Linked DNA regions of Rattus norvegicus. The protein of the gene in region 1 purifies or fractionates together with the protein of each later gene. This does not show direct contact. Links are inferred from orthologs where the notes say so. Each region holds a gene or a part of one and is shown on either strand. Other genes may lie near its edges.

Evidence for each region.
Region 2: the proteins of Pfdn2 (region 1) and Pfdn1 purify together in Homo sapiens (affinity purification with mass spectrometry; 5 studies listed by BioGRID and IntAct, counting the BioPlex papers as one, with this or other methods). This does not show direct contact. The link is inferred for Rattus norvegicus from reciprocal best matches to the Homo sapiens genes PFDN2 and PFDN1.
Region 3: the proteins of Pfdn2 (region 1) and Pfdn4 purify together in Homo sapiens (affinity purification with mass spectrometry; 6 studies listed by BioGRID and IntAct, counting the BioPlex papers as one, with this or other methods). This does not show direct contact. The link is inferred for Rattus norvegicus from reciprocal best matches to the Homo sapiens genes PFDN2 and PFDN4.

What each region holds. Positions count from the first base shown.
Region 1 is NC_086031.1:86,319,299-86,322,937, reverse strand, and holds part of Pfdn2 (prefoldin subunit 2), read right to left. Parts: intron 2,090-3,639; coding exon 2,001-2,089; intron 1,909-2,000; coding exon 1,785-1,908; intron 500-1,784; coding exon 323-499; 3' UTR 1-322. UniProt on the Homo sapiens protein: Binds specifically to cytosolic chaperonin (c-CPN) and transfers target proteins to it. Binds to nascent polypeptide chain and promotes folding in an environment in which there are many competing pathways for nonnative proteins.
Region 2 is NC_086036.1:28,338,201-28,342,361, forward strand, and holds the start of Pfdn1 (prefoldin subunit 1), read right to left. Parts: upstream 2,924-4,161; 5' UTR 2,897-2,923; coding exon 2,864-2,896; intron 1-2,863. UniProt on the Homo sapiens protein: Binds specifically to cytosolic chaperonin (c-CPN) and transfers target proteins to it. Binds to nascent polypeptide chain and promotes folding in an environment in which there are many competing pathways for nonnative proteins.
Region 3 is NC_086021.1:179,720,338-179,724,687, reverse strand, and holds the start of Pfdn4 (prefoldin subunit 4), read right to left. Parts: upstream 2,924-4,350; 5' UTR 2,833-2,923; coding exon 2,794-2,832; intron 1-2,793. UniProt on the Homo sapiens protein: Binds specifically to cytosolic chaperonin (c-CPN) and transfers target proteins to it. Binds to nascent polypeptide chain and promotes folding in an environment in which there are many competing pathways for nonnative proteins.

The DNA.
Region 1 (3,639 bases):
TTATCTTTCTGTTTTGTTTGAGGCAGGGTCTCACTATATAGCCTTGGATGACTGCGGACTCGCTTTGTACACTGGGCTGGCCTGGAACTCAGAGATCTGCCTCCTGTTGTGTCCCCAGCACTAAGATATGTCTGCCACCATGCCCAGCTGTATGCTGTCAGTGTAGCCCTAAGTAAGAGAGTTTCAGGCTACAGTTAAGTATTTGACCAAAACATTTAATTAACAACAACAAAAAAATTACAATAGCAGAAAAATAATAATAACAATAAAAAGAAATTAGAAGTGGGAATCAGGGTAAAATAGAATGCAGAGGCCTTAGTCCCTAAGAGACCAGCACCCCTGCTGAGCTGGACTTAGCCCCAGCTCCTTCTGAGTTTTCCTTGGCTGCTGGCTTCTCATCTTCTCCCATAAGACGAATGTTGTGCTTTTCCCGGAATTCATTGAGTTCTTTTCCCTTTGCCTGAAGCTGCTGTGACAGTGTCTCAATGATCTTTTGTATCTAAAAGGCAAAGAAAAGAGGATACAGAAGGATTGCAGGTCTCCCTCCTCTGACCTGGAATGTGCTATGGTTAGAGGCAGTGAAACAACACATTTAAGCTCACCTTTTAGCCCAGCATCAGCAAAGCCCAGACTCTCAAGTGAATTCTCAAACACAGTGAGTGGCTTATAAAAGGGAACATCTGGGCTACTTGCTTTCACTATTCTTTGATAATGTTATAAAAGTATATAATTATTCTTCTCAAACTTAACCCCACTCTTACCCACTGGCCACCAACACAACCCATCTCAAAATCATATTTCTGTTTTGTTTTGTGACCCATGGGTCTAACCAGGGCACCCTTGTGGGCTAGCCACAGGAGCAGCTTGCCAGGGGATACATCACTTAAGACAATGACTGCCCCATCTCTAGCAACCTTCAGTCCTCAGTGGCTCCCCAGGGAGGGTGGGTTGCTTGTTTTTTAAATATTTATTTATTATATATTATGATTACACTGTCACTATCTTCAGACACACCAGAAGAGGGTATCAGATCTCATTTCAGATGGTTGTGAGCCACCATGTGGTTGCTGGGATTTGAACTCAGGACCTCGGGAAGAGCAGTCGGTGCTCTTAATCACTGAGCCATCTCTCCAGCCCAGGGTTGCTTGTTTTTTAAAGAGCATTTATGATGCTATCGTTCCTTCTTTTAGGTCACATTCTTTTTTTATTGATTGTTTTATAGTTAGCCTAGGCAGGCTTCAAACCCAAGATTCTCCTGCCTCATCATCTCAGCAAGTTAATCACCAATGTATGACATCCCAGTCAGGACTCTTTCTTCCTTTGAAATGTCACTTATGGTTTCTTCAAGGGTTTGGCTCCACGGATCCAGAGATATCCTAAGAAGTTACAGTTTAAATTGGTTCTTGGATGGAGGCATAGCCCAATGATAGAGTATTTAGCCTGCTGTGCATAAGGCCCTGGGTTTGATGCCCAACACTGCTAAACAAGTTCTTCAGGTGACTCTGACTCAGGGATCCAGACTATATTGTAAGAAACTGCTCTACCCATTCCCCTCCCAACTCAACCACATCAAAGGGCCCATGGAAAGGGGCCACAGCCAACAACTCCTCACTTCAGGAGTTGGACTTTTGACTTATAAAGGACATAGCATATAGCCAACAGACATAATATACTGTCAACATGAATTTCTGCCTGGACTTTCTTTCCTCGCATTCCCTAAATCCCTGGCCACCCATATTTAACCTCTTGATTGCCCGAATGCCACCTCAGGGATCTGTGCTCACCTGCTCCTTGTTACCCTCCAAGGCAGGCAGCACCTCCTTGACCGTCCGCTCTACCAGCACACCGCCAACCATGCGGTAGCACTTGCGGGTCTCATCCACTTCCTTCAGCGTATCGATCACCAGGCTAGGTAGGGTAGGAGAGCAAGACAAGACCTCAGAATAGTCCTGCTCCCCTGCAAGCCTCCCTCCAATACTGTCTCTCTGCGGCATTCTTACCTATGCTCATTCAGTTCCATCTCCAGCTCAGCTGCTTTGGAGGCCAAGCCCCTCTGTTCCTGCCGAAGGCGATTAAAGCCAGCAATTACCTAAGAGAGAAATGAGCCAGTGAAAACCAGAAAGCAGAGGCAGCCCCCGGGAGGACAAGTCACAGAGGCGCAGTAGTGGATGGATACCTATCTTGGGAAAGTTGTAGAATACGTCTGCATGCCTCTATGTATGAGATATTTACTAGGCACAAGGGGGCGATTTAACAATAGACTTGGATGGGAGAGATGGGGGAGGGGAGGAGCTGCTGGAATACCTAGAGAGACTTGCCAGTAAAGAGTCTGTCACAGCTTTTTTATGCCTCCCCCCAACTTATTAATTTTTACTACATGTTGATGAGTGCTATTATACCTGGAAGTATGTATATATGTGCACGCTGTGTGTGCCTAGTGCCCAGAGGCCGGAAGAAGGCATCAGATTTCCTGAAGCTGGAATAGTGAGTGGTCGTGAGCCACCCTGTGTGTGCTGGAAATTGAGCCTGGGTCCTAGGCAAAATCTTTTAACCATTTTTCTCTTAAGTTCTTTTAGCCACTGAGCTGCTTGCCAGTTTGCCACCCCCAGCCCGGATTTTTTTTTAATTATATGGATAACTGTGTGTTTGTGCAAACGAGTGCAGTTCTCAGAGACCAGAAGAGGGTGATGGAGTCACGGGCCGGATATGGGTGCTAGAAATCAAACCTGGGTCTTCTAGAAGAGCAGTGTATACTTTTTTTTTTTTTTAAGAATTATTTAATTATATATATATGAGTACCCTGTAGCTGTCTTCAGACACACCAGGAGAAGGCATTGGATCCCATTACAGACGGTTGTGAGCCCCCATGTGGTTGCTGGGAACTGATCTCAGTGCTCTTAACCTCTGAGCCATCATTCCAGCCCCACAGTGTGAACTTTTATATGCCTAATCATCGAGTCATCATCTCTGAAGTCTGTTGTTGTAAAAATATAAAACAATAAAAAGGTATAGGTGTCTTTTACCTCACTAGGTCCTGCACTGTGGTGCCCCAAGATATCTGCTAGATATCTTGCGGAAACACATCCCAGCCACACACTCTCCTATACTCAAACCCTCACATAAAAGAACACACAATGCAATAATCTTGGATCCAATTGATAAGATATAATTGCCCACTTAAACATACAAAGCCCGGTACCATCCATCCCTTAGGAACATTAATAACAACCTGTAAATACACAGAGCAGACTCTTAACATCACCTGCCATGGCTTCTCACCCTCTCCTCTCTCCTCCTTTCTCTTCCAGTCTCCTCCTCTTCCTTCAAACTTCTCTCCCGCCCATCCTTCCTTCTCCTCCAATGACAGGCCTCCTTCTATCTTGTACCTGCCCCTCACCTGTACTTTACAAATTCAATGGGGAGAAGGTTCTGGTGTAGTCACCTGATTCCTGAGTAAGTGACTAGGCAGCTGTCCTTGGGGCAGTGGAATTAGCATCAAAATACAGATAACTCCAGGGAAAACCACAACAGAAGTCCTTGTTTTTGTTTTTGTTTTTTTTTTTTTAAAGATTTCAGGATGTTTATATTTATGTGTGTGCCTGTGTGTATATAAACATATGGAGATCAGAAGAGGGTGTC
Region 2 (4,161 bases), on another chromosome or scaffold:
AGGGGATTGAGATTGACTCAGCAGATAACAGCACTGTCCACCAAGCCTAATGACCTAAGTTTGACCCTGGGAACTACTTGGTAAGAGAACACTTGAGCACACTTTCAAATGCACAAACTACATTTTAAAATTAATTTTTAATCTATCTATAAATAGATAAATAGATGGGTGGGCAGACAGACAGACAATGGTTCACAGATGGCTCAGCAGGTAAAGGTACTTCTTACCATGCCTAACAACCTGAGTTCCATCCCTGGGACCTGAACCTACATGATAAAAGGAGAAAACGCTTTATATAAAGATATAGATACATAGCTGAGATTTACATGTCAGGCACAGAAATGCATTAATCCTAGAACCCAGGAGGATCTCTTGTGATTTCTAGGCTAGCCTAGTCTACCTATATAGTGAGTTCCAAGCTAGTCCAGGATGCATGGTGAGACCATGTCTCAAAAAGAAAAAGAGAAAAAGAAAGAAAAGCTTACAAGGCTGAGATTTATAGCATGAGAGAATGCTATCTAAGGCTAAGTTTACATGTTTCAAGACAAGAATGGCAGAAAGATGCACATATTTAGCATCCCCAGAACAATAGCAAGTGGCTTCTTTTATTAGGAACAGCTGTTTCAGCTGTCGTATTACTTAGGCACAGGTTAACCAGAGACAGCTACTTATGATGTTACTTATGGGAGCTAGGGAAACAGTGCAGTCAGCTGACCCAGGGTTCACTCCCCAGGACCCACAAGGTGGCTGAGCTTGGGAGCTGATGGGATGGCTCAGGGGTTAAAAGCACTGGCTGCTTTTGCAGAGGACCAGGTTTGGTTCCCAGTACCCACATAGCAACCCACAACCACATGTTAACTACAGTTTCAGGGGGATGCAAAGCCCTCTTCTAGCCTGAGAGGGATGCACACATATGGTATACAGGCATTCATGCAGGCAAGACACATACATAAAAATACAACTTGTTGTTGTTTAATGCTAGGCATGAAGGGCAAGGGGGAAATAAAGGTCCCAGCAGCTCACAAGACAATCTCGCCAAAGTGGCAATCCCTAGGTCCCAGTGAGAGGTCTTGTCGAATGCAGGAAGCCCTGAGTGCAAATCCTAGCACTAGGGAAACTGGGTGTAGGGGTGCATGCCAACTACATAGCCAAGTTCCAGGCCAACCTAGGCGACATGAGACTCTGTCTCTTGGGAAAAACAAAACCAGAATCCAAATCTGGGCCAGTAGATGGCTCAGCTTGCCTAGAAGGCCTGATACCAAGAGTTCAATCCCCAGGACCCACCTCATAAGAGAGAACTAACTCCCAAAAATTGTTCTCTGACTTCCACTAAGCACCTTGCAAAATGTACACACACACAACTTTTAAAAATGTTTCTCACCTAAAAAAAACCTACTGAACAAAAAAAAAAAAAAAAGGATTACAGTAATTCCAAATGCTAGACTCCGTTTTAAAAATGTGTTTACTGGGGTTGGGGATTTAGCTCAGTGGTAGAGCGCTTGCCTAGAAAGCGCAAGGCCCTGGGTTCGGTCCCCAGCTCCGAAAAAAAAAAAAAAAAAAAGAAAAGAAAAAACAAAAATGTGTTTACTATTGTTTGTGTGAGCACCGAGCAGTGTACTAGTGTGTGCCTCTAAGATTAGAGAACAACTTTGTGTAGTTCTCTCCTTCTACCGTTGGTTCCAGGGATAGAACTTAAACAGCCAGGCGCCTGGCAAGTATTTTCACCACTGACCCATCTTGCTGCCTGGGGCTCAATCTTTTAAGACTTTTCTTGCCAGGGACCCTAGCACATATCTGTTACCCTAATACTCTGAAGGCAACAGCACTAAAGTACATTAGGGGTTCAGGGCCTGACCAAACTAAACCAAGCTAACCAGAAAGAAAAAAAAAAAAAAAAAAACACTAGAAGTTTACCTTTCTAGAAAAGTACATTTAAACAGAATGAGTTCTAGGGTCCTTTCTAATTACAGCTAACTCTCCACAAAGATAGCACAGCCAGGATCAGTCCCAAGACTGTTAAGTAGCAAAAATGTTTCCAATTAACAACCCATTTATAAACAGGCATTTGACTCAAGACTAATTCCCAGAACTCAAGAGGCTGAGGCAGAAAGACTGCCTGGAATTCAAGGGCAATAAGTCCCACGTCAATCTAGAACACCCTGAGACATTGTCTCTTAAAAAAAAAAAAGCAAAATAACAAAATCATTTCTAAGCAACGGATTGAACAAAATAATAATAACAACAACAACAATCCAATTCCTCTGAAAGGTCTTTTGGAAAACTTACTTGGGGAGGAGGGGTAGTGTATGAGCTCTTTACAAAGGTGATGGGGAAGGGAGGATTAGAGCCTTGACAGGAGTCAAGCAGTGTCTGCTTATTTGAGGTGTAAATACAGAAAGACCTTTCAAGGTATAGTGTAGAATAAATGACCTAAAAGCAAAGATTGAACCTGGAGTTTTTCAAATCAAATGAGGAAACCAAACTGCAAGTTCTCCTGCAAGCATCCTGACAGGCATCATCACTGTGAGACACTGTCTTCAGTCCTTGCTATGAAATTGGTACCCGACGGCTCCAAAACACAGAGAGATGTCTCTGAAGTTCCAACATAAGAACACACTGCAGCCCAGCCCGCGTGCGACCCAGCAACCTAAACCCACCAGAAACAGCTCCTGCGAGCAAGAGCCTCCACCTGAAGCAGAGCGGGTCCGGTCTCAAGGCTTCGGGAGGCCAGACCCCGCCCCCTACAGTCTCCTTCCTCCAGCGAAACGCGAGCTTTCCCCCTCCCCCCTCACGCCCCCATTTTCGTCCCTACTCGCTTTATCATTCAAACAGAAGTGTCTGTCTGCTGAAAATCCCCCCTTACCTTCTTCAACTCCAGATCCACGGAGGCGGCCATATTGAAGGACACTATGCGCCTGCGCTAGAGGCAAGCCGGAAAGGGGTGGGGGAAGGGCGCTTGCAGGTTTTATTGGTAGGCTTCCTTCTGCGCCTGCGCAAAGGTGAACTCAACTAACCCAGATTTCTCAGCTTGTAATCTACCCGACTCTACCACTCTGCCACGAGACAAATGACCCTGAACATTGAAATTCTGATTATATTTGATAAACGTGTAACTGCCGAGATGTAACTTGCTCCTCCACATACAATTAGAAAAACATCTTCACTTGGGCTGCGGAATTGAAACAGGTTTGTCGGTCAGCTCATCAATCATTCATTCAGTTCCTGTGCTGTCAGTCCAGCTTCGGGCATGCCAGTAAGACCATTAGCAATATGGTTCATCTAAAAAGAACCTAATTCTGCCGAAGCTTCCTCATATATCTTCTAGACACAGTGCTTCTTGAGACAATTCTGTTTGTTGGGATCAGATTCCTGACTGGGGTGTAGTTCAGTTGGCTAAATGCTTGCCTAGCACATTTGATACTCTGAATTGCCCCGTACAAAACGAGTATGATGATGCATTCCTGTGATCCAAGTGCTAGGTAGGTTGAGGCAGGAGGATCATACGTTCAAGGTCAGGTCAGCCTGGGGAATAAAGGTGCTTGCCACCATAACGAAATAAATGAGTTCAATCCTGAGAACCCACATGGTGCAGAGAACTGATTCCCACAAATTATCCTCTGACTCCCTTCCATGTGTGTACCTCCACACATGCTTATGAACGCACACATACACTGAATAGATTCAAATTTAAAACTAGGAACTGGAGAGATGGGTCAGCAGTTAAAGAGCTTATACCCTTGGGGCTGGAGAGATGGCTCAGTGGTTAAGAGCACTGACTGCTCTTCCAGAGGTCCTGAGTTCAATTCCCAGCAACCACATGGTGGCTCACAACCATCTGTAATGGGATCCGATGCCCTCTTCTGGTGTGTCTGAAGACAGCTACAGTGTACTCATATAAATAAAATAAATCTTTAAAAAAAAAAAAAAGAGCTTATACTCTTATTCCAGCGAATCAGAGCTTGACTCTCAGCACACGTTAGATGGCTCACAATGACCTGTAATCTCCAGTCCCCAGAGAATGCACACCCTAGCCTCTGCAGGCACCTGTGCTTACATGCTCTCACACGCATGCACATGTGTAGACAAAATTAAAGATAATAAGAATAAATCTTTTTGTACTTTAAAAAAGTTCAAGTTATCCTCAATGACATAGAGAGCTGG
Region 3 (4,350 bases), on another chromosome or scaffold:
GGGTTGGTCCTCAGCAGTAGCTAAGAAACTGATACCCATGATCCCTTGGGGAAGAAGTTCCCAGAATACCTCGTTTCTTTCTAAGGTGCTAGGGACTGAACTGAGGGCCTTCTATGCTGGCCAAGCATGTCCATTCAGCTACACCTCAACCCCACTTCTACGCTCCTTGAACTGCATTTTGGCAGGAAGATAGTAACTTCTAGCTGGCGTGCAAGGTCATCAAGAAGTCGATTTAGTCCCCCAAACCATACGCAAAATAGGTAGACATTGCAGGGTGTCCAGTCTTTTGACATTGTGACATGATGCCATCTACAAATGGTTTGGGCTCCATTCACAGCTATCCTTGGGACCAAAGGGTGCAAGGTGAACATGCCTAGCCTTCGACTACATTCTCCGCAAGGGGTCGTAGCAGCTTTCGGATTTTCAAAGACACCTATAAGCTCAGAGGGCTAGCGACTCCTGTCTTAGGCAGGCGTGGGCGCAGTGACTACTGAAGAGGGTTATTTTCTACTCCAGATAGGAGTGAAGGGATGGCAGGAGGGGACTCCGAACCAGGCATGTGGAACTTCAGGTAATTTTCTCAATTCCCTGGAGCCACCCCCAATCTGTCTCCCTTGCAGGGATGGTACAATGAGCCCCAAGTGCATGGGGCCTGGGTATGCACTCACCCTTCGATCAAGGATAGCCAAGTACTTTGCCTGCTCCATATTGCCTCTAAGGTTCAGTAGAAGGCTAGCTCAGTAGAATGCTTGCCCAGCACATGCAAAGGCCCGAGCTTCACCCCCAGCACTGCATAAAGCCAGGTGTGCGGAGACAAGCCTGCACCCCAGCAGTCAGGAGGTAGAGGCAGGAGGACTAACAGTACAAGTTCATCCCCGGCTGCATGGTGAGTTTGAGGCCAGCCTGGGCTACGTATGAGAGACTTCATTAAAAGAAATGAAGGAAGAATGGCAAAATGATCATTGCAGATTTAAGGGGACTCTGCTGGTTATAAGAGACATGACTTGCTCCAGAGTCAAGAAGAAAGTAAACTGCCCTGGGCCCTGACTACACCCTGGCCTTGGGAACATCTTATGGGATTGTAAGAGAAAACAAACTGTAACTATTCCAAGTTCAGGTACTGAGAGTTGAGTCCCCAGCCAAAAAGTTCTCCACTTCAGTTGACAGTCAGATCTCTGAGGATTCCAGACCAGCCAACGCTACGGAGTGAGACCTTCCCTCAAAAAAGCAAAACCAGAGACGGACAATGTCATGGAACTACACAGTATAACGGACAGCTGAGGGCCCAATCTCCCAAGAGAGGCAAATGAACTTGTTTCCTACTTGGCCAAATCACCATGGCCCCGGACTGCATGCTGCTACTGTATGATAATTTGTGAGTGACAGATCAGGGTGAAGGACTTATTCTAACTCTGAAGCCTCCCCAGGCTCGGCAGCCATTCGCTCTGCTCTTAACAAACTGGAATGGCTGACCGTCATCCCTCGGTGGTCGGAGGCACTGACTGTGTGGTGCCAATAGCAAGAACATAAACAGGGACATCTATTAGGAAGTGGAGTGAAAGCAGCTGCCTTCAGTCAGGCGCCTCTCATCAGAGACAGGCAGGCACATAGACAGACAGACACGACAAGGAGCCTGAGAGAGAGAGAGGCAGAGACAGAGAGAGACAAAGACAGGCAGGCAGGCAGGCAGGCAGGCAGGCAGACAGACAGAGTGGAGCCTAGAATGTGAGTGCTGTTTAAATCCCAGATCTTCTGCCCTTCCGTTCCTCTTCAGTTAAATATGAATAAGAACAGAATCTCCCAAAAGGTTTGCACAGGATGACATGCAAACGCTAAGAACTGTGCCCAACATACTTTGAAGCCCCAATAGTTATCAGCTGTTTGCTTGTGTGTTCTTTTTTTCCTCTCTGCAATTCTTCCCCTGTATTTAGACATACCTGCACATCTGGAAACACTCTGGGGTCATAAAACCCACATGGGAGTTTAGCTTAAGTTGGTGGCTCGAAGTATGACGGAGGGGTTGCAAAGCCGTGTAGATTAGTTGCCTATCGTGCACGAAGCCCTGGGTTCACCCCACCAGCACACCAAAAGCTGGGTGTGGTGACAAACCCGGGTAATCCCAACAACTGGAAGGTGGGAGGTGGAGGCAGAAATTCAAAATCATCTTTGACCGCACAGGGGGCAGTGGGCCAGTCTGGTGTACACACACGTAAGTCCATGTCTTTAAAAAGTGTGATAAAACACCACACCAAGCCCCATGAAAAATCATCGGAGGGCGTTTTAAATTAATAAAGAGCTGTAATTTTGGGGAAACGAAATCACCAGACCCAACATCTTACCAGATGAGTCACCAGAGAATGGCTAACTGTAAAGAATGCGGGGCACAGTGTGGGGACCCGAGTCCTTCCTAAAGGCTAGGAAAAGCCGGGGTAGCCACCACACTGGCTCGGGCCGACTCCTCTCAGCGTCAATTAAACACTAGGTGCATGGAGCATAGACGGACATGGGCGGTTCCGGGCGGAGCACCGAGGTGCGGTACCAGACATCCCGGGATGCAGAAACCGATTCGGTGCCTGAGGAGATGCGCGACCCTGAGCAGGTTAGGCAGTTACCCTGACGTGAGCCAAGAGAACAGCAGCACCCCTGGACCTAGCACGGGCCCAGGCCCTGCGCATCCCGTGGCCCCGGCGCCTCAGATACCTCATCTCCTCAGACCTCCGACTCCCCAGCGTCCCGCGTCTCCCCAGATCCCCCAGCCCACGGATCCTCGGACCCCGGCTCGGCCGCACTCACCGCCTTCTTCATGGTGGCCGCCATCTTGGACTGAACCATAGGGCGCGGGGGAAGACCATCCAGGCGCGCGTCACCCCACGAGGTCCCTCTCGAGCCCTGCTGAGCCAAACTCCCCTAAAATACAGAAATATCTCCACATTACTGCCAACTATGTCTCTGACCTATGAATTCCCATGGCAAGGACGCAGAAAAAAACTATAGTCTGGAAAACACTTGGTACTTTCCAATTAAAGGGACAGGCAGCTTCCCTCTCGGCCGGCATAAATACCGAGTGAGGCCATTAGTCGGGCCTGGGATTCCAGTCACGGCCAGCAGGGGGAGCGCTTGGTAGGTACCGCCCAGCTGGGTGGGCTGGGAGGCTTAAATTCTTTTTCCCTTTCTTCAACAACCTAACACTGACGCTAGGGAGGCTGCGGGCGTGGCTTCGGCTCCTTTGGTAAAGTATTTGCACTCAAGATGAGATCCTGAGTTCTATCCACAGCCCCTACCACATAAAAGCCCAGTGCTGGCAAAGCTACAAGCTGAAGGGACTGGTATATAGGCCACCCTTGAAGTTGGCCTTAGCTTGTATGCCACTGACCACTGCAAGGGACACTAGGATGGGCTAAATGACACTAGCCAGGAGTAAATGAAACCAAACGTAAGTGACCCCAAAAGGATCTAGAGCAGTGGTTCTCAACCTTCCTAATGCTGAGACCCCTTAATACCGTTCCTTATGTTGTAGTGACCCCCCGCCCCACCCATAAAGGTATTTTTGTTGCTACTTCACTATGTAAATTTCCTATGGTTATAAGTCGTAATGTAAATAAATACCTATTTTCTGATAGCATTAGGCGACCTCTGTGAAGGGGTCGCGATCAATAGGTTGAGAACAGTTGATCTAGAGCGCTGTAACAGACTCAGACCCTTAGATGGAAGCTTACTGGATGGTTGGTTGGTTGGTTATTTATTTATTTATTTATTCATAGACAGAGTCTCTCTATGTAATCCTAGCTGTCCTGGAACTATACATGTAGACCAAGCTGGTCTCAAATTCACAGAGATCCTCCTGCCTCTGCCTCTGGAGTGCTGGGATCAAAGATATGTGCCATCATGCGTCACTGGAACGAATTATTTTACGTATTTAAAATTAGATTGGTTCAGCAATATGTGTTTCACTCACTCAAATATATTAGCCTGAGAAGGCTATCCACCCAGGGCCCAGTGGGCACCAGGCTTCCTCAGTAACCAGGGCCTTTGTTAACTTCGGGAAGCCATTTTCATTCTGCTACTTCGCAGTTGTAATACAGAATCGAATCTCAGTGGTACCTGGGGTCACGGTGGCACCGTTTTTGTTTTTGTTTTTTGTTTGTTTGGTTTGGTTTTTTGGGTTTTGTTGTTGTTGTTGTTGTTTATTTGTTTGTTTTTTAGGAACTCCTTTGTATATACGGAAAACCCCAGTCCTGAACTCTGTAACCCTTGGGCCAGACTCAGAAGGGAGAGCTAGTGTCTGGCTGCAGTGGTCAATGGCGATTCAGTAGTTGGTGGAATGTTGACTGGACCGAAAGGATACCAGAC